Schizosaccharomyces pombe: one gene and its partners. Changing the gene in region 1 together with any one later gene gives a genetic interaction. Each region holds a gene or a part of one and is shown on either strand. Other genes may lie near its edges.

Region 1 (4,358 bases):
TTATGCTCCTTTGGTGTTGTAATACAAATAAGCGCTAGTTAAAGCTCAGAATCTGTATCAATCGCAAGAACGAAAATGACCGCCAAATGCAAATTATTCGAGTTTAACGTTACATAAACGCGCAAATCCACGAACAGTATGATCTTTTCAATACAAAGAATGCAGAGATTTAAGGTCCTGTTGGGTTAATAGAAAACTGTTAGCAAAGTATGTATTTAGGCCAGTAAACTGCGATATTTTTTTTACTGAAATACGTTAGCATTCACAACTGGGCTTACAGTTTCTCCCCTAATATATCAACGATTGAAATCTTTTTAAGATAATCTAACCTTTTATTTAGTCGAATAAAAATTTCAATTTTCTCTTTAAGCTAAATTTGGTTGAAACTGCTTTTTTAGGTCGCTTGGATAATTGCTTCCTTTTCTCTTTCGCTTTAAACGACTTTGAATCTAGATGAAAAATGGTTTACAACTTTACATTTGTGATGATTACATCGTAAATATTTACATTGTGCCTATACCCAATTTTTTTTCTTCGTTTCTTTAGCCACAAGCGTTAGTTGAAAGTATTGTTTACACAGGAAGGGTTGAATCAGAAACATTGTATGTATGATAGCGTTATATTAGTAGACAACACTTGTAGGCAAACCTATCCCGAAAAATTTTATTTTTAAATATATACATATGCTAATTTCCAACAATAAGCAGTCTACTTTCTTTTCCGACGATGTTTTTTTCTTTCACCAACATCACCTATTATGTTTACAGGTAAAGTAGGTTCATCCGTTGTATGGTTTTTTGATGATCTCTTTTTGATGCTTAAAGGGTTAGGCCCTTTAGGACCCTTGCGTTTTTTATTGGCTTTTGGAGCAGAATCCTCTGTTCCCGCTAAATCCGTACTTTCCTTGGTATCTTGATCATCGATAGCCAGTTCATTCGCTGAACGCTTTTTTCCGGATAATAACAACTTTTCCTCTTTTGACATGCCCATCTGAACGGATTCTTTGTTGTGCTTTTCTAATAACGTAGCTCGTGAAGCTGGTTCTAGTATCACAACTGACCTTTTCATATATATAAGTGGAACACCTGGGACCGAACGAAGAGCTTGCCTAAGCTCGGGGTCTTGGGTAGCAACAACATAGCGGTGCTTGTTCCGACCATTAATGTTGACTACACTCTGAATACATTCTGAAGGAGAGAGTGCTTCATCAATATGACCACACCTCCTTCGCTCAAAAGACTTTGCGATACGAATTTCTTGCTTCAATTCATCGGATTTACTGTACAATTGCCGAATACAACATTGAGTAATCACTATAGTCAGTTAGTAAATCCGTTAGTTATAATAATTTACAAGGAGAACATAAGGAAAGAAAATAATAAACCAGACCCGGATGAAAAGATACTATGTTGAATAATTAAACTTTCCGTTCTGTTTCATATTCCGGGGGTTCGCCCTTTTTTCCAGTAAAAGAAAACACTTATAAACAAAACTTACTAGGTTTTATAGCTCCTTGAACAGTCCTAGCTAATGCAGCTTGTATATCAATCTTTTGTTGAGATAAATCTTTTAGGAAATCTGCATCCACTAAAAATCATGTTAGTTTAATAACATCACCAAAAAGAAAATGCTTATTGTTTGCAAATTAGAACTTGGGTAAGGATGCATCTTTACAAGCATCATTTTCTGTACCACATACCGAGTACTTGATATGGTTCACGAAATCCAAATAAAAGCTGATACGTATGCATCAGCTTTCTGTAATTCTTTGCCCTTTTTTGCCTCATATTTACGCCCTTTTCTGTGCGTCACACAGCCTAAGACTTAATATGCTTTAGATCACTTGTTTTTTTAAGAATTTTTTTTTTCGCTCAAAAACGAAAAGTCTTTTGTTACTATTAGAAATATTAAAAAAATAAATTCAATCGTATTAAAAGAAGTATCCAGGAACCCTAATATTGCTGAAATCCTCTTATTAGGAAATTTCCAACTAGTTTGTACTTTCCAAGTTCACCCACGTACTAAAATTTTGGGCGCTTTAACTATTTAACTTAAGTGAGATACTTGGCTTCGAACTGAGTGTATACTTCTTTTATTTCTCTATTTAGATAAATTTGTAAGGAAACGGTATTAAGCAGAAAGAGGATTCAGTCTATTATTTACCCTTATCATACTTTTTCTTCATTTCTACTGCGTAAATAATTTTAAAGCTTTGCTTTTTATTATTTGAAAGATTTGTCATTATTACTTTCTTTCTTCTAAAGCTTCTTTTTCTTCTTTTTATAAAATTGTAAATATATTCGGATCCAAAAATTAGAGGTTTATTTCTGAAGTGTTTGTTTTGTTGCTTCTATTTTCTTAAGAATCAATCAATAAAAACATGAGTGAACAGCGAGTTTTTAAGCACCCTTGTCAATTTTTAACATGGAATTCTAAACACAATTACATCGTGTGCTGTTCAGGTCCATATCTATTGGGGTTCTCATGCTCTACAGGGGAAAAAATTTTTGAACATTGTTATAGAGACAATATAAATGAAAAACATAGAGAGGCAGCTGCCTATGGAGAAGCGATTCGTCAAGTCGCATTTTCTAAAGACTATTCTCGTATGGCAACAGTTAGTGAAGACAAATGTTTGCGCCTTTGGGATAGCACTCAGCCTGATAAAATTGAACTTCTTTATCAAAAAAACATACCAAAGCGATGTGCTGACTTGTGCTTTGCGGGCTCAAACGAAATTGTTTTTGGTGATAAGTTTGGTGATGTCTATTGTGTAGACGAAAATTGGTTTACTACTTCTGAAGTTACCGAAGAAAAAAAGTCAAATGTGGTTGAAGGAAAACAAGAACCTGTTAATAATGACACTTTAAAGGATTCGAAATTGCAAAAACTCGAACCCATTATGGGGCATGTTTCGATCTTAACTCAATTAATAGTTGCTCAAAATCCACAAAATTCTAAAGAAGAAATAATCATTACTTCAGATAAAGACGAGCATATTCGTATTTCCCGATTTCCCAATGCATTTGTCATTGAAGGGTTTTGCTTAGGTCATGAAGAGTAAGTTTTCATTTGGTTTTAGTTGATCAATTTTTTTTTTTTTTTTTTAAATAACACTAACGCCTTTTCCTAGTTTTGTATCTAGGATGTCCTTATATGACAATCGTACTCTAATATCTGGCGGTGGAGATAATCACGTTTTCGTATGGGATTTAGAGAATTTCAAATGTTTGGATGCATTCGATCTACGATCTGCCTTTTCCACTTATCTCTCATTAAATCAACCAATGGTGGTTTCAGTTATTCTTCCTATTTTTAAGCGCCAGCTTGTTGCTTTTGCGTGTGAAGGAATGGCGGGTCTTATCTTCGCGAAGGTGACACCTGAAAAGAGACTGTTGTTTCATTCTGCTTTGAAGCTGTCAGGGCCTGTTCTTGACGCTGTTTTGCTTGACACGGATACTGATCAAATTCTCATTTCTTTGGACTCTAGTTTTACATTTGGTGCATGTTTTGAATGCGTGAAATTTGATGAAGGGAATGCGGCTGTTCTTACGAAACCCGATGTAATAAAGCGTATAGAATCTGATGGTTTAATATCAACCGAAAAGCCGTTCTGCCCGCTCGCTCAAATTCACACATTACGCAAGAACCACTCTAAATTCATTCGCAGTGTTGAAACCGGTACATCTTCGCCATCCGTTGAATCTAAAGATAATTAAAGCTCATTTTAGGGAGACCGGCTCAAAAAAAATAATTGGGAAAAGTGGGAGCATCAGTAAATATGGAAAATAGATATGAATAAAAATGATTGTGACATTAAAGTATAATAGGGAGAGCATTTAATTTCTTTGGAGAAACCCAGAATTTTGAAGTATAAATACAGTCAGCGATTAATAATTATGCGAATAAACGCAACTTGTATCTACTGCATAAGTGCAACTGCTATTCAGTTGTGCAACGTCAGCAATTTGAAGAAGTAAAATTAATCGTTTATTCAATTCCTTCCATTTACATGCTACGACAATACTTTACATAATACTTGCAACGGCAAATTGTTTTTAGAAGGCCTAAAGAACACGAGATACATCCATTAGTGCTATCTAACAAAAAAAGCTTAGTCGAAGAGACCGAAACCCATGTCCTCATCGGATTCCTCTTCCTCTTCAGCAGCAGCCTCGGCAGCGGGTGCCTCAGCTTCACCACCAGCAGCAGCAGCAGGAGCAGCGGCGACTACGAAAGCAGAGGGATCAGCAAGGAAAGCCTTAGTCTAAAATAAAGTTAGTGAACTGAGTACAAAAATAATTTAATGATTCAAAGAGTTTAATTGTATACAAGCGTTCAGCAAAAAATTAGAGTGT
Region 2 (4,452 bases), on another chromosome or scaffold:
CTAACAAAACGTATTCCAACCGTATTTTCCTATCGGGAAAGAATTCTTTCAATCTTCTACAGGCATCTTCTGCCTTTTCACGACTCCTGCATGTAAGAATTACCGTGAATACTTCGGGTTCATCTTGCAAACGCGGTTGGTAGAACTGCAAAAGACGCGTAGCTATTCCAAAACCAAGACCACTGTAATCATTAACTGTGTTGCTCTAGATATCTTAATAATATTTTACCTGTTGGAGCCGGTAATTAAGGCATATTTACGAAAACTCATTGTTAGGGCTTTACAATGGTAGTAGTAAAAATCGTTTGATATCTACCCTGGTCAGCTATGTAGTATACGTTCGAAATTACACGTCGAAGTATTTAGCTACTTTATCTTCTTTCAAAAAATTTATTAATAAATTGGTAGAAAAAATATCATTCAAAATTCAATTAACCATAAGTATTTCTGTACTAGCTTGTATTTGATCGTCATTCAATTTAATATAACAAAGCTCTCAAAACACTCTGTTTCCTAAATAATAGCAATTAAATTTTTGGATTCAACTCAATAATAATTCTAATAAAAAATGCTTTTTTCATTTATGGGAGACGATAGAATCCATGCTTCAACTTTACCAAAGCAGCGAAAAGATATAAGAATAATTTTCATTAACCAAACATGCTCAGTAAGTACTTCAAAACTATACAAAAACTTTTTAACTACACGAAAAACTAAACGACTTGAGCTTTCTCTTCTAAATCCTTTATCCTTTCTTGAATTATATCCAATGCATGTTTGCTTTGCATTGACTTATTTTCACATTCCACTACAGCTTCATTCGTATTGGAATTGATCGGCAAACGAATAGTTATTTTTTGATCGCATACAGCCTCATTCATAATAGATTCGTCTTTTTCCATGCATATGACCAGATGAGCACTAGCGATTGCAGAAGCTAGGTTATCAGCTGAAATTAAAGAAAGTGCAATTCCGTGGCACAAAAACTTCTCATGAATATCGTCTAGCTGCTTGCAAATATCTTCCTCTTCACTTACTGCAAAGATTTTTGTGAAATGAAGCCTACTTAGTTGCTTTAAAATATTGGACGCTAATAAAGACTCCAAAAAACTGGGCAAATCTACAAAAGATATAACCAATGATTTTTCTTTTTCTAAAGTAGGGCAGACCGATGAAGCATCCGAATGCTTGTATTCGATCTCAAATGCCTTCTTCAAGTCTTCATAAGTTTTAGCAGTCTGAGCGAGTTGTCGAACATTTTTCCGAAATGAACCCTGCATGATTTGATTTAAACAATATTTAGTATTCCCAAAATTATTATCAACCTCAAGAGCCTATCAACAATTAGTAATGAATAAACAAGCAAAGTACAAACCATTTTCAAAAACTCCTCGGCAACCTTAAAACTAGAAAGTGGGCCCTCTATTCGAAAACAGGATACGTTCCTTTCAGCAGCTCTGGCGATAAGCACACCGTCGACTCCATATTTCTCAATAACATCCAATCCATCATTATAGCTTAAGACATCCCCATTTACTAAGATCGAAACATCTTTATTTCGACAGACGCCTACAATTTCCGATAAATAACTACGATCTGCAGGCTCAGTATTTCGCATTGGAGTTGTACGGCAATGAACAGTGATTGCTCGAACTCCTGTATCGCATATGCGCTCTACCAATTTTAGGGTATCTTCTTTTGTCTCTAATAAACGAATTTTACAACTTATGGAAATTTTGTAAGGCTTCCCGATCTCATTCACTAGAGCATCGAGAATACTGACTAGACGATCTTGATTTTTCAAAAGGCCAGCTCCCATTCCAGCATGTACAGAAAAATGTTTGGGGCAACCACAGTTTAAGTCAATGCCTGCAACATCATTAGCTACAAGTTTTGCTGCTTCCACTGCAAGTTCTGGGGATGCACTTCCGAGTTGAAAAATCAATCGATTAGCTTCAAGCGGATGCACACGAAACAACACCTTATTGCTAGGTGGTTTAACAAAATCGATGCAATTGATCCTATCTATTTTAAATTGAGTCAATAATAACTGAATAAAATAACACAATTAGGAAGAAGAAATTTGTTTTTCAATTAAATAAATGTCAAAAAATGTAATTACACGAGTTAATAAAAAAAATAATTCATCAAATATAGTATTGAAAAACGAAAGTGCATGGGTGAACAATGTAATTACACGAGCAACCAATATCGATTTAATCCTCATCTTTCTTCTAAAATTGTAATTCATACTAACACATACCATTTACGACTCTTTCTACAGGTGTTCCACTCAGAAGAGCTTTATCCACAATTTCTGGCCCCCATACTAGATTAGCGCCATATCGAAGTGCTAATAACCTCATGGGAAGTTCCCCAATCCTAACCATGGGAGCTAGACATACTTTATTGCTATAATTTAGCAGACCCATGACAAGAAGGGAGGTTAATCGAAAGGAAAACTCTGTGAGCTTAGAAAATTGCAAGCAACTTAAGCGTGGCCAACAGGGTAATTGTCACCACCAAATTTTCTGCTCAAACAGAAAACCTTCCGTACATATAGAAAACACTCAAAAGTCATCTTTGCGAAGCTAAGGGCTACTATTTTAAAAGCGATTCTCAATCAAATTCTACTTACTTCTACAGCGTGTTATTCGGACACAATTAACGATTCTCTTATTTAAGTATCAAACCTATCCCAGCCTTGAGGCACTCAAATTATGCTGCCTTTCAAATTACAAATAAACGTACATATCCGAGTAATAATTACATTTTGGTAGTCCTAGATAATGTATCTATATGATATCAATAATTGCATATGAACAAATCCTTCGAAAGCTTAATTCATGTTGTTTAGCTTATCTAACGAAGGGATGCAAAGGCCTTTTGAACGGTACGCTTAAGACGAAGCTCAGCCTTACGGAGAGCATCAGTGTTAGTGTCCTCAAGTTCTAATTGAGACATGCACTCAGCCAATTGGGCTTCAATCTTAGACTTGTCACCACGCTTCAATTTCATCATGACATTGGGCTCAGAGATGGTAGTCTCAATGTTAGAAATGTAAGATTCGAGTTGGCTCTTAGCCTCTAATTTCTTGGCGAAATCCTTGTCTTGTTGCTTGAACTTGTCAGCGTTTTCAATCATCTCTTGAATCTTAGTGGAAGAAAGATGACCAACAGAGTTGGTGATTTCAATGTGAGCAGAGCGACCAGTGGTCTTTTCAACAGCGGTAACCTTCAAGATACCATTGGCATCCAACTCGAAAGTAGCTTCCAACTCAGCTTGACCACGGGGCATAGGAGGGATACCAGTAAGTTGGAACTCACCAAGAGGTTCGTTTTCAGCACAGTTGACACGTTCACCTTGGTAAACAGGGAAAGTAACGGTGGTTTGGTTGTCAGCAACAGTGGTGAAAGTACGCTTCTTGATGGTAGGAATGGGAGTATTGCGAGGGCAAACAACACCGAAAACATTACCTTCCATGGCAACACCCAAGGAAAGGGGGACAACATCCAACAAAAGCAAATCTTGAGTTTTGTCAGAGTCAGCCTTGTTGGTGAGGACAGCGGCTTGAACAGCAGCACCGTAGGCGACAGCCTCATCGGGGTTGATAGACTTGTTCAAAGCACGGCCATCAAAGAAATCAGAAACGAGTCTTTGAACCTTGGGAATACGGGTGGAACCACCGACAAGGACAATGTCGTGAACATCAGCCTTAGGGACCTTGGAGTCCTTCAAGACCTTAGCGACTGGATCAATGGTAGCCTTGAATGTGGTAGCGTTGATGTCCTCGAAACGAGCACGGGTAATGCTAGAAGAGAAGTCGATACCGTTGGAAAGAGAGTCGACCTCAACGGTGGTTTGAGTAACAGAAGACAAGGCACGCTTAGCACGCTCACAAGCAGAGCGAAGACGACGAAGAGCACGAGGATCGTCAGAGATGTCAATCTTTTGCTTGCGCTTGAATTCTTGAATAAAGTGCTCGACCAAAGCGTTATCAAAATCTTCACCACCCAAGTGAGTGTCACCAGCGGTAGCCAAAACTTCAAAGACACCACCTTGAATCTTCAAAAGAGAAACATCAAAAGTACCACCACCAAGATCGAAAATCAAGACGTTTTTGGGCTTGTCGGACTTGGCATCAAGACCGTAAGCAATAGCAGCAGCGGTGGGCTCGTTGATGATACGAAGAACGTTAAGGCCAGCGATGGCACCAGCATCCTTAGTAGCAGCACGTTGAGAGTCAGAGAAGTAGGCGGGGACGGTAATGACAGCCTTCTCGACACGCTTGTTCAACTTAGCTTCGGAAATCTCCTTCATCTTAGTCAAAACCATAGCGGAAATTTCTTGAGCAGTAAATTGCTTTTTCTCGCCCAAATAGTTAACCTCAATGGTAGGGATACCATTGTTGTCAATAACCTTAAAGGGCCAGTGCTTAATATCCTTTTGAGT
Region 3 (4,997 bases), on another chromosome or scaffold:
TCAATCTGTTTTATTACAAATGCGCGTTCATCATTAAACTGCTCATCATTTTTCCGGTCAGTATGAAAAGCTGACAAGTAAGAAATCAACTTTGATTTGTTCCTCCTTAATATTTCGATTACTTCTTCCGACTTTTCAGGATTAGCAACAAACAATTTAAAAACATGAAAAGCTTCAAATTGAATGTTTTTACTCTTATCTCTCAGCAGAATCATCATTAGTTTCAGATTCTCAGCAGAACTAATATAGCGTGTCATGACTGAACGGTTAGCACGATTAAGAAGAATTTCCCCTAAAAGCTTTAAAGATTGACGTTTGGTAACATAATTTTCAGATTTCAAAAGGACAGTGTATTGCTTAAAAAACTCGTCAAAATGGTATGAAATAAACTCAGCAACTTGGGATTTATGATTAAGAAGAATAGACTGATTAAAGTTAGTAAATGCAAAACTAGCGGGAGTATATAAAAACATTGCAACGACAGAAGTTTTATTTGGGGATAATACGTACCTTAAAAGTCGAAAACGCATCACTCGCCATATCAAAACTAGAGGCTTGTATCAAACTAAAAAATGTCCAAAAATCTCGTGAGTTTAAAAGTACCTCATTAAGGGCTTCATGACGGGAACACTCACGAAGGATAGAACCAGCAGTAAAAGCTACTTCCTGGTATCGATAGTATGAGACCAATACTGGAAAGATTTGCGGGTGCGCAAGCATGTAGTCAACAGTGGGATATCTCGATGCTACATGCCTCCTAAGTAAAGCGCTAAATATTAGTCCTGTATCCTTTTTAGACTCAAACTCCAATTTCGGTAAATATCGAACGAGTAAAAAAGGTAAATTCGACTGGTAAATTTGAAAAGATAAGTCTGATACGAGATCAGCATCAGGCTCTACTTCAGCTGTCCCACACAATGAAACCCGTAAATTCTGTAAACATTTGGAAACTTCCTCAAAGGACTGTTTACGTTAGTCATCTAAACGAACAAAAACAACAATTACTAATAATTAATACCTTCTTTTTATCATTGTTTATTTCCAACTTTGGGAGATTATCACATAAGCAGCGAACAACATCTTGGGTTGATTTTGGTCGTTTATTGAACAGAAACGACATGCGGAATTATGGAATTCGGTTTCTCTAAAAACTTATGGCATATGACAGGGTAAGTAAAGTGGGTGCCAGGCGATGGTCCACAGTGGGGGTCTATTTTCATATTCAGTTGAATACTATTAAGGTACACTTCTTGAGTATTCAAATTACCTTTACTTATACCTGAAGTGATACCAATGTGGGGGTTGTTACATCTCGATTATACATAAGTAATCAAGTATTGAAACGCAGGTGCATTTAGATGATAGCAAGTGTACTAAGTAGATCTATTTATGAATTATGCATTTTCCATACCTTTTTCTCTTCGGTAAATGAATTGGTAGGTTGGTATAGCTAGTAGAAATACAAAGTAGTAAAACAAACGTTTTTTAATGCTAATGTTTGAAATAGTATCTGGGATAAACTTGTAAATTGCAAATACATCCAAATCTCCATATAAACTTCACAATTTAAAAAAATTATTTAATTTAAAAAAAAAAATAAATAAATACCTGCGAGGTTTCTCGTTCTTACCATTTAATCAAATTTTCATAAATAAATATGTGAGAAATTGCAATCCAATTTTCGTCACAGATATTAATCAGACGAAGGGTAAAATACTCTGCTTAAAATATGAATCAAGATTGAACAATCTTAAGAATTTTATACATGTGTAAATCTTCAAATAATATCAGGAAAAAAAGAATATGTAGAAGGAAGTAAACAATTTTAGCCTGTTGATTTGTAAATTTATTTTTTTTAATTCACACTTCGAGCTTTAACATTAAACAATTATGTAGTTAATTACATGATATTATTCTGTTTTTGATACGTTGCCTTAAACAACAATTATTGTAGAGGCACCATGTTAGGTTAACCTCGTCTTTCCCTGTATATGAAATTAGCCCGCTCACATATTGTCTTTAATGATTTTTTTGGATGTATGGATCTAATTTATATACTGCGTTTTAATCATACATTATTTGATTTTTTATCTTTTTATAAAGCAGTTTTACTCAATGACTTCAATTAAAGTAGTGTGCCGAATTCGGCCCACGAACCAGTTGGAACAAGACCTTGGAGGAAATAATGTGATATACCCATTAAACGATTCTACTGTTCATATCGAGGTAGGTTTCAACAATTGATCTTTACTTTAGAATTCGGCTGACATGATTAAAAGACTAGTGATTACTCAGGAAACTTTGTATTCGATCGTGTTTTTCATCCTTCTAGCACTCAGAATGATATATTTTCGTATTCAATTGAATCGACAGTCGATGGTATGTGAATGATAGTAAAACTTTACACGGCGTTGAACGGATTAATTTCATCGTTGTCAGCAACAGCTTGTATGAAATTATAGCATAGCCTTTTTTTATATGCGCTCGTTTTGACGCTTCATTTGAAACGAATTGCCATTTTAATACATTGTTCGAATCACATTCAAGTTGTTCTGAATTTCATTAAATATGTACTAATATATTATAGACTTATTCTTGGGTTATAACGGAACAGTACTAGCCTATGGACAGACAGGATCCGGCAAAACATACACCATGATGGTATATTCACAATTTCACCTGGCACACTTTTCTAACAATCTTTAGGGTATTGAAAATAATTTCGAAAAAGAAGGAATGACTCCAAGAATGCTCAGGCGTATTTTTGACAAAATCCGCGATTCACCATCTACTACTGAATACGAAGTGAAGGTATCATACATGGAAATCTACATGGAAAAAATTCATGATCTACTTTCCGGTAAGCCTTCAAATGCCGTAGAAATTTTGCGACGTTCGTATTTAATTTCAGCAAAATTAACCATGATTTACAGAAAAAAATGACAGACTGACGGTTCATGAAGATAAACTTCAGGGAGTTTATGTTCAAGGTTTAAAAACGATTTACGTATCAAGTGAAACGGAGGCATTGGATATTTTAAATAAAGGTATGGGGTCACGTGCCGTTGCAAGTACGTCGATGAATGCGCAAAGTTCACGGTCTCATTCTATTTTTGTACTCGAAGTTGTCCAAACGGACACTGAGTCCGGCGAAACTCGACGAGGCCGGTTGTTTTTAGTTGACTTGGCAGGTTCCGAAAGCGTAGGAAAAAGTGGAGCAGTCGGGCAAACCTTAGAAGAAGCAAAGAAAATAAACCGTTCTCTTTCAACTCTTGGAATGGTTATTAATTCTCTCACAGACAGCAAATTATCACATGTTCCTTATAGAGATTCCAAGTTAACGCGTATTTTAAAAGAGTCTCTTGGTGGAAATTCTCGGACCACTCTAATTATTAACTGTTCACCAGATTCATACAATGCAACAGAGACCTTATCTACTCTTAGGTTTGGACATCGTGCAAAGAGCATCAAAAACAAAGCGGTAGTAAACTCAGAACTTTCTGTTGATGAAATGAAAAGACAGCTGTATATTTATAAAGATGCTTTGTCTCGTTGCGTTTGTGGAGCCAGAATTAACAATAACTTAGACTATAATAATTGTCATTCTAACGTATGGTCAGGCGAGCATTCCCTCACACTGTCAAATCTCGCCGAAAAATCCAACTTAAAGGAAGCAGAAATCATTCAAGGAAATAGAACAATTCAGGAAAGTAATAATGACAGAGACGAAAGCACAGTTGCTTCGATACACAGACATAACTTTGATTCTGATTCTATCAATCGTTTGTATGCTGAAGCACAACTTGAACTTAAACAACGAGATGGTGTTTTATCATCCACTAAACAGCAATTGTCAGACCTTATGACTGCATTGGGCGATGCTCAGGAGCGGTATGTTGAGCTTGTTAAAAACCACAGAGTAAATTCAAATCTTACTGCAAACAACTCATTAAATGACAAACCGGGTTTTACAATAGAACAGAAAGATAAAAATTTTTCGATAAATAACGAGAGAAACAATTTTTTACAAAAACTGAGTACTTTGGATTCCTCACTGGCTGCTCTAGTAAATGTTCAACGAAAATTGATTAAAGCTTTAATTTCCAAAGAGCGACCTCAAAATGGAACAGTAATTAAGAAAATTCAAGGGGGCACTTAAAAGCTACACTTTTTTACTCTGCTTTGCGAAGGATTATATATGTTTAATTAATTTCTTTAGAGTTGTTGAGCTCACATTTAATCATGAAATATTGCATCTCGTCTAGCTGCTTTCTGAATAAACTAATTTTCTGACTAATTATTTATGCAGCTTCTTTTATATTGCTGCAGCATTATAATATAAAAGAAAACAGCTACGCAGCAATGCATTGTTTATATGCTTATTCAGCAAATGTGTAACATCTCAAATGATGATGTAATAACAATTCAATAAAAATTTACCGTTATAATATAATCAGCGAATTTAGTAATCTGAGACTACTATTCTTTAGCAAGGATTGACTATTGGCTAAGCAATCATTACCTTTTTTAAGCTACAACGAACTGTAGTTTAAGTGTTACTTGCGATGTATATAATCTTATGTAGGATGTTTATCGTAGATGGTAAAATGTTGTATCAATATAATTATGATATTGAATACACTAACATAACCACACATATATGGCTTATAACTGAAGTCAGGAAAGAAGGTTTGAATGTATCAACATAATGCATTGTTATAAAACTACTAGTATAGAAGATTTACACTAAGGATGGAAATACGGAGAATCATGAATATTATGAAAAGTTGAACTAACGCAGCACAGTATAGTGTAGTGACTTGTTTCTAACAGAACGATCATATTTACTAGCCACCAATCTTCGCTAAACAACATTTACGCGATCTTCAATATCCATTTACATTTTGCTAACACAACTTGTTGAGTTGTTTCATTTCCCTATTTCGAACACTTTTTACCAATCTTCAGTGCTGTAAAGTCGCTAGGAAAAAAGCGTT
Region 4 (3,710 bases), on another chromosome or scaffold:
TGCGAAGAATTTCAATTTCGTCCTTTGGGACGGCAAGTGCGCAATAAATTAATGCCGCTAAGCATCCAGGATCCATCGTTGGTTGCCCAAGTCCTGGGCTATAAATGAAAAGTTGCAACATTTTGATCAAAAAATGACCCGAACGAATGAATTGAAAAAGTTACCGTCTACAGTAGGGTTGAGATTAGAGAAACACAGAAGAAAGAAAAAAAAGGTAATAACTAACCAACTAGTCCAACTTACCAAATTCGCTGAAGCTAGTTACAATTATCATTCTGATGCTATGCAGTCAAGTAAGCTATACGAACAAGTAACATTGTTACCTATTTATTAGTTGTTAAAAAGTGAATTAAACATCGATAATTAGCACAATAAATCGATTGAGCATTTGAACTTTGAGATTTTACTTAGTATATTTGTATGGCGCTTCTGCTGTATCTGCAGCGTAAAACCCATCTAAAATGAGACTTTGTTTATGCATCCATAGTATAGAAGAATATACAATCTCACAAAAGCTTCACTTGTGATAATCCTTTTTGCACAATGAGTACATATTTAATTATTAAGAAGTATAAGTGTGCTAAAGACTATTCTAAATCCAAACATAACGAACTATTCCTCTATCGAAAATTCAAGTCAATTTATTTCTTATATAAGACAGTATAAATCTTGTATATATATAATTGTACGTATGAATACACATGTAAGCTTTCCCAGTTACCGTCAATGCAAGTCACTCTTTGCTTTCTAGTTAGACATAAACTTTGCGTCAAAGAGTTGATGACGGACTAGCAACAATAATTAGCAAGATATAAAATAGTTCACTCTATTCCAAAAGTTGTAAAATTAGACCCAAGTGGTTTGTTTACTTGCGCTTTGAAACAGATTCGGTGGAAACAGTTTCTACACTCTGAGTAGTAGCAGACTCGGATTCCAATTTAGCCTTTTCAGCTAATTCTTGCTCCCTCATATCTTCAGCGTATTCGCGCTGCTGGATACTTTGAACATGATATCCGAAAACGTATCCAAGTTGAATAAGAATGACACCAGCAAGAAGAAATTCAACAAGAACATGAGAAGCAGCAAGAACGGACAAGTGCATATTTCGTGGGAATTGAACATAATTCTGTAGCTTAACAACCAACATAGAAGGAGCAACATTAACAATAAACAAAATTAGTGCAGTAAGATAAAGAAGCGTGCTAGAGTAAAAGAACAATTTGTCATCACCTTTAGCGCCAGTGGCTTGAATAAGATGGAAAATCATATTAAGTCCCATGATGGTATATACAGTATATTTTACAATGAAATGGGATCCAGCCACCAAAGTATAGTAAGTTTCAGCAGCATCGAAAGCAGACTCAGGGCCAGGACTCCATAAGGTATTCACATCGGCAACGCTCTAAATGACATTAGTAATTTATGCTAAGAAAATAAAGACTATGAACAAAGTAATCAATTCGAAGTGAAGCTCCAAAAACATAAGAACAACAGAAAAATGAGCAGCGCGGCAAACATTGAGCGGTAAGATGAATGCTCGTATCCGATTATGAAAACTTAAACAGACAAAAAGCTCCTTTTTAGAAACGTTCCTGATAAAATAATTTTCCAGATTTATTTTAACAATGCATGTTTTGTAAAACAAATTCAGAATTCACTCAAAGTACCGACTTATAATTTCTCATATTCTGCTCCCTTTGTCTCCAAAAGCTAAACGAAATTGATATCAAATGAAAGTTGATTTTCAAATGAATAATCTTAGAATAAAATAGAAATTTGATTGGAACATACGCTGTGGAAAAGTAAAGCAAAAATAAAACTAGTTGACATAAGGACTCCATAACGGGCAGCGACCTTCAAGCCCTTTTCATCAGCAAAACGAAATATGGATCTTTTAGCCATCTTGAATAATGATAATAAACTTTTTTTTTGTTAATGAAAATATACGTTAGTGGTAGGTTAATTAAGACTACCTTTTTATACCAAAGTGATACCACTCCGCTTTCGACGGTCTAAAGGATTGTATGAGTATAAGGAAATCGAACGCATTTTCCACTAATATGCATTGTATGCAGAAAAACATCATGAACGGCTATCTAAATCTCACGAATAAGAAAAATCAACCCAAGATAAATCAGTTGGCAAAATTATTTAATATAAAATATAACCAGATATATTTGAGCGACTATTGTATGTCACTATTTATTGTAACTGAATACACAACATCATAGCGTTTTCAAGTTAAGCGAGACTGTAAAGCTTATATCAAAATAAGGGAATTTATTAATTGGCTGTAAATAAAACAAATGAATGCCAATGCCTCGATATGTAAAAATACTAATAAAACTACAGAAACAATATAGAAGAACATACAAAGATCCTTTGTATACTTGAAAAAAAGAAATAATTTCATAAATGAGGTGTTTTTGTCTTCCTAACTATATGTTTCGTCAGTTTTCACAATGGTCGCAAAATCTGTTTCTAAAATGCTCAATTGTTTATTATCCTAGTTCCCTATTAGTAAATTTTTTTCATTTCTAATTCTAAAAACTTTTACCTGAGTTTAAACAAACAATTGAACAATATCCGATCGATTTGTTTATCTAATAGCGCATCGCGTAAAATATTTTAGCGTCTTTAAGAAAACATAAATATCTCTTATCTACAAATAACAGAAAATTACATCAACCTTATAAAATATAAAGCATTCCAGAAAACACACTATTCTCCTTTCACACCTAAACTGGTCTTGCATTCATTTGGTCTCGAAGTTATATCTCATATACATATTTGCAGTCCACTCTGCAAAAAACAAATAATACAAAAAGGGTATACGAGTTGTTAAAGAAAAAGGTCCCTGCTTGCTTTACATACTTGGCCGTGTTAATTAATTCAATATGGTGTCGATTTACGTTCCCTTGATATATATTACCATTTTAATGGGCTCTATGTATGGAGTTTCTCGTTTTGTGCGAAAATCCAAAAATCAGGAATCAAAACCAGTATCAGAAGAATGGTTTGGAGAAAATTATTCTAGAAATATATTTTTCAGTCTTTTGCAGCAGAATCCACCTGCCGAGGATACACTTTTGAAAGCTGCTCTCGTTTTACGGGCTACAGAAGGTCTTCGTCGATTGATGAAGCTTAAAGTATCGAGAATGGCATTGAATAATTTGCTCAACCGCGGCGGCGTTGGTGACGAGCTAATTCGTAAGTTTGGTCGTTTGGAAAAGGAAACTGAATTGGAGTTGATGGATATTGCCAAAACTGCCAATTCATTGCAGCCTGGATGGAATCAGTTTATATTCCAAACTTGCAATGAAATAATTGAAAACGAAAAAATTCACAGCATAATTGATAATATTCCCAAGGACATTGATTCTATTTCGCAACGTTGGCAAACCGAAAAAATTCTGTATGAAGCCGCTGATGAGGAATTGCGTATTCAAGCCCAAAAAGAACTTGGAGTGCTATAAATTGTTTTAAAAAAAGATGTTCGTATGTGCCTTTATTCTTTTTTTCCTGTTTCTTTCTTGCATCTGATGTTTTACGTTTTCTTATCTTTTTCTTTCTTTGAAACTAAAATTCCTATTTTATACAATAATCCTTAGAACTCATTCATAAATCAAATTCAGTAATAGACTCCATAAAGGGGGCTTGCTTTATCACTGTCCTTACCTTTATATTGAAAGTCATACTTTTTTCCTATT

The links.
Region 2: mutations in trm82 (region 1) and dus2 together harm fitness more than expected from each alone (negative genetic interaction), as found in Schizosaccharomyces pombe (one large-scale study listed by BioGRID).
Region 3: mutations in trm82 (region 1) and klp3 together harm fitness more than expected from each alone (negative genetic interaction), as found in Schizosaccharomyces pombe (one large-scale study listed by BioGRID).
Region 4: mutations in trm82 (region 1) and shr3 together harm fitness less than expected from each alone (positive genetic interaction), as found in Schizosaccharomyces pombe (one large-scale study listed by BioGRID).

Annotation. Positions count from the first base shown.
Region 1 is NC_003421.2:1,976,515-1,980,872, forward strand, and holds trm82 (tRNA (guanine-N7-)-methyltransferase subunit Trm82), read left to right. Parts: upstream 1-2,006; 5' UTR 2,007-2,380; coding exon 2,381-3,060; intron 3,061-3,133; coding exon 3,134-3,719; 3' UTR 3,720-3,851; downstream 3,852-4,358. Other genes in the region: rRNA processing protein Utp23, read right to left, coding at 709-1,313, 1,498-1,587, 1,700-1,787; rpp0 (60S ribosomal protein uL10), read right to left, coding at 4,115-4,267.
Region 2 is NC_003423.3:1,106,708-1,111,159, reverse strand, and holds dus2 (tRNA dihydrouridine synthase Dus2), read right to left. Parts: upstream 2,453-4,452; 5' UTR 2,433-2,452; coding exon 2,264-2,432; intron 2,026-2,263; coding exon 1,376-2,025; exon of another isoform or gene 1,335-1,375; coding exon 714-1,334; 3' UTR 562-713; downstream 1-561. Other genes in the region: erg27 (3-keto sterol reductase), read right to left, coding at 1-182, 230-270; ribosome-associated molecular chaperone Sks2, read right to left, coding at 2,863-4,452. UniProt on the Schizosaccharomyces pombe protein: Catalyzes the NADPH-dependent synthesis of dihydrouridine, a modified base found in the D-loop of most tRNAs. Specifically modifies U20 in cytoplasmic tRNAs. Also able to mediate dihydrouridylation of some mRNAs, thereby affecting their translation.
Region 3 is NC_003424.3:4,704,800-4,709,796, forward strand, and holds klp3 (kinesin-like protein Klp3), read left to right. Parts: upstream 1-1,978; 5' UTR 1,979-2,115; coding exon 2,116-2,226; exon of another isoform or gene 2,227-2,279; coding exon 2,280-2,379; exon of another isoform or gene 2,380-2,587; coding exon 2,588-2,661; exon of another isoform or gene 2,662-2,706; coding exon 2,707-2,860; exon of another isoform or gene 2,861-2,933; coding exon 2,934-4,159; 3' UTR 4,160-4,453; downstream 4,454-4,997. Other genes in the region: mo25 family protein Pmo25, read right to left, coding at 1-425, 511-963, 1,019-1,120. UniProt on the Schizosaccharomyces pombe protein: Cytoplasmic motor that could play a role in Golgi membrane recycling.
Region 4 is NC_003423.3:1,173,964-1,177,673, forward strand, and holds shr3 (chaperone protein Shr3), read right to left. Parts: upstream 1,951-3,710; 5' UTR 1,903-1,950; coding exon 1,792-1,902; intron 1,403-1,791; coding exon 866-1,402; 3' UTR 517-865; downstream 1-516. Other genes in the region: mtx1 (metaxin 1), read right to left, coding at 1-121; translocation subcomplex subunit Sec66, read left to right, coding at 2,898-3,476. UniProt on the Schizosaccharomyces pombe protein: Involved in amino acid permease processing and required for the efficient translocation of structurally related amino acid permeases from the endoplasmic reticulum to the plasma membrane.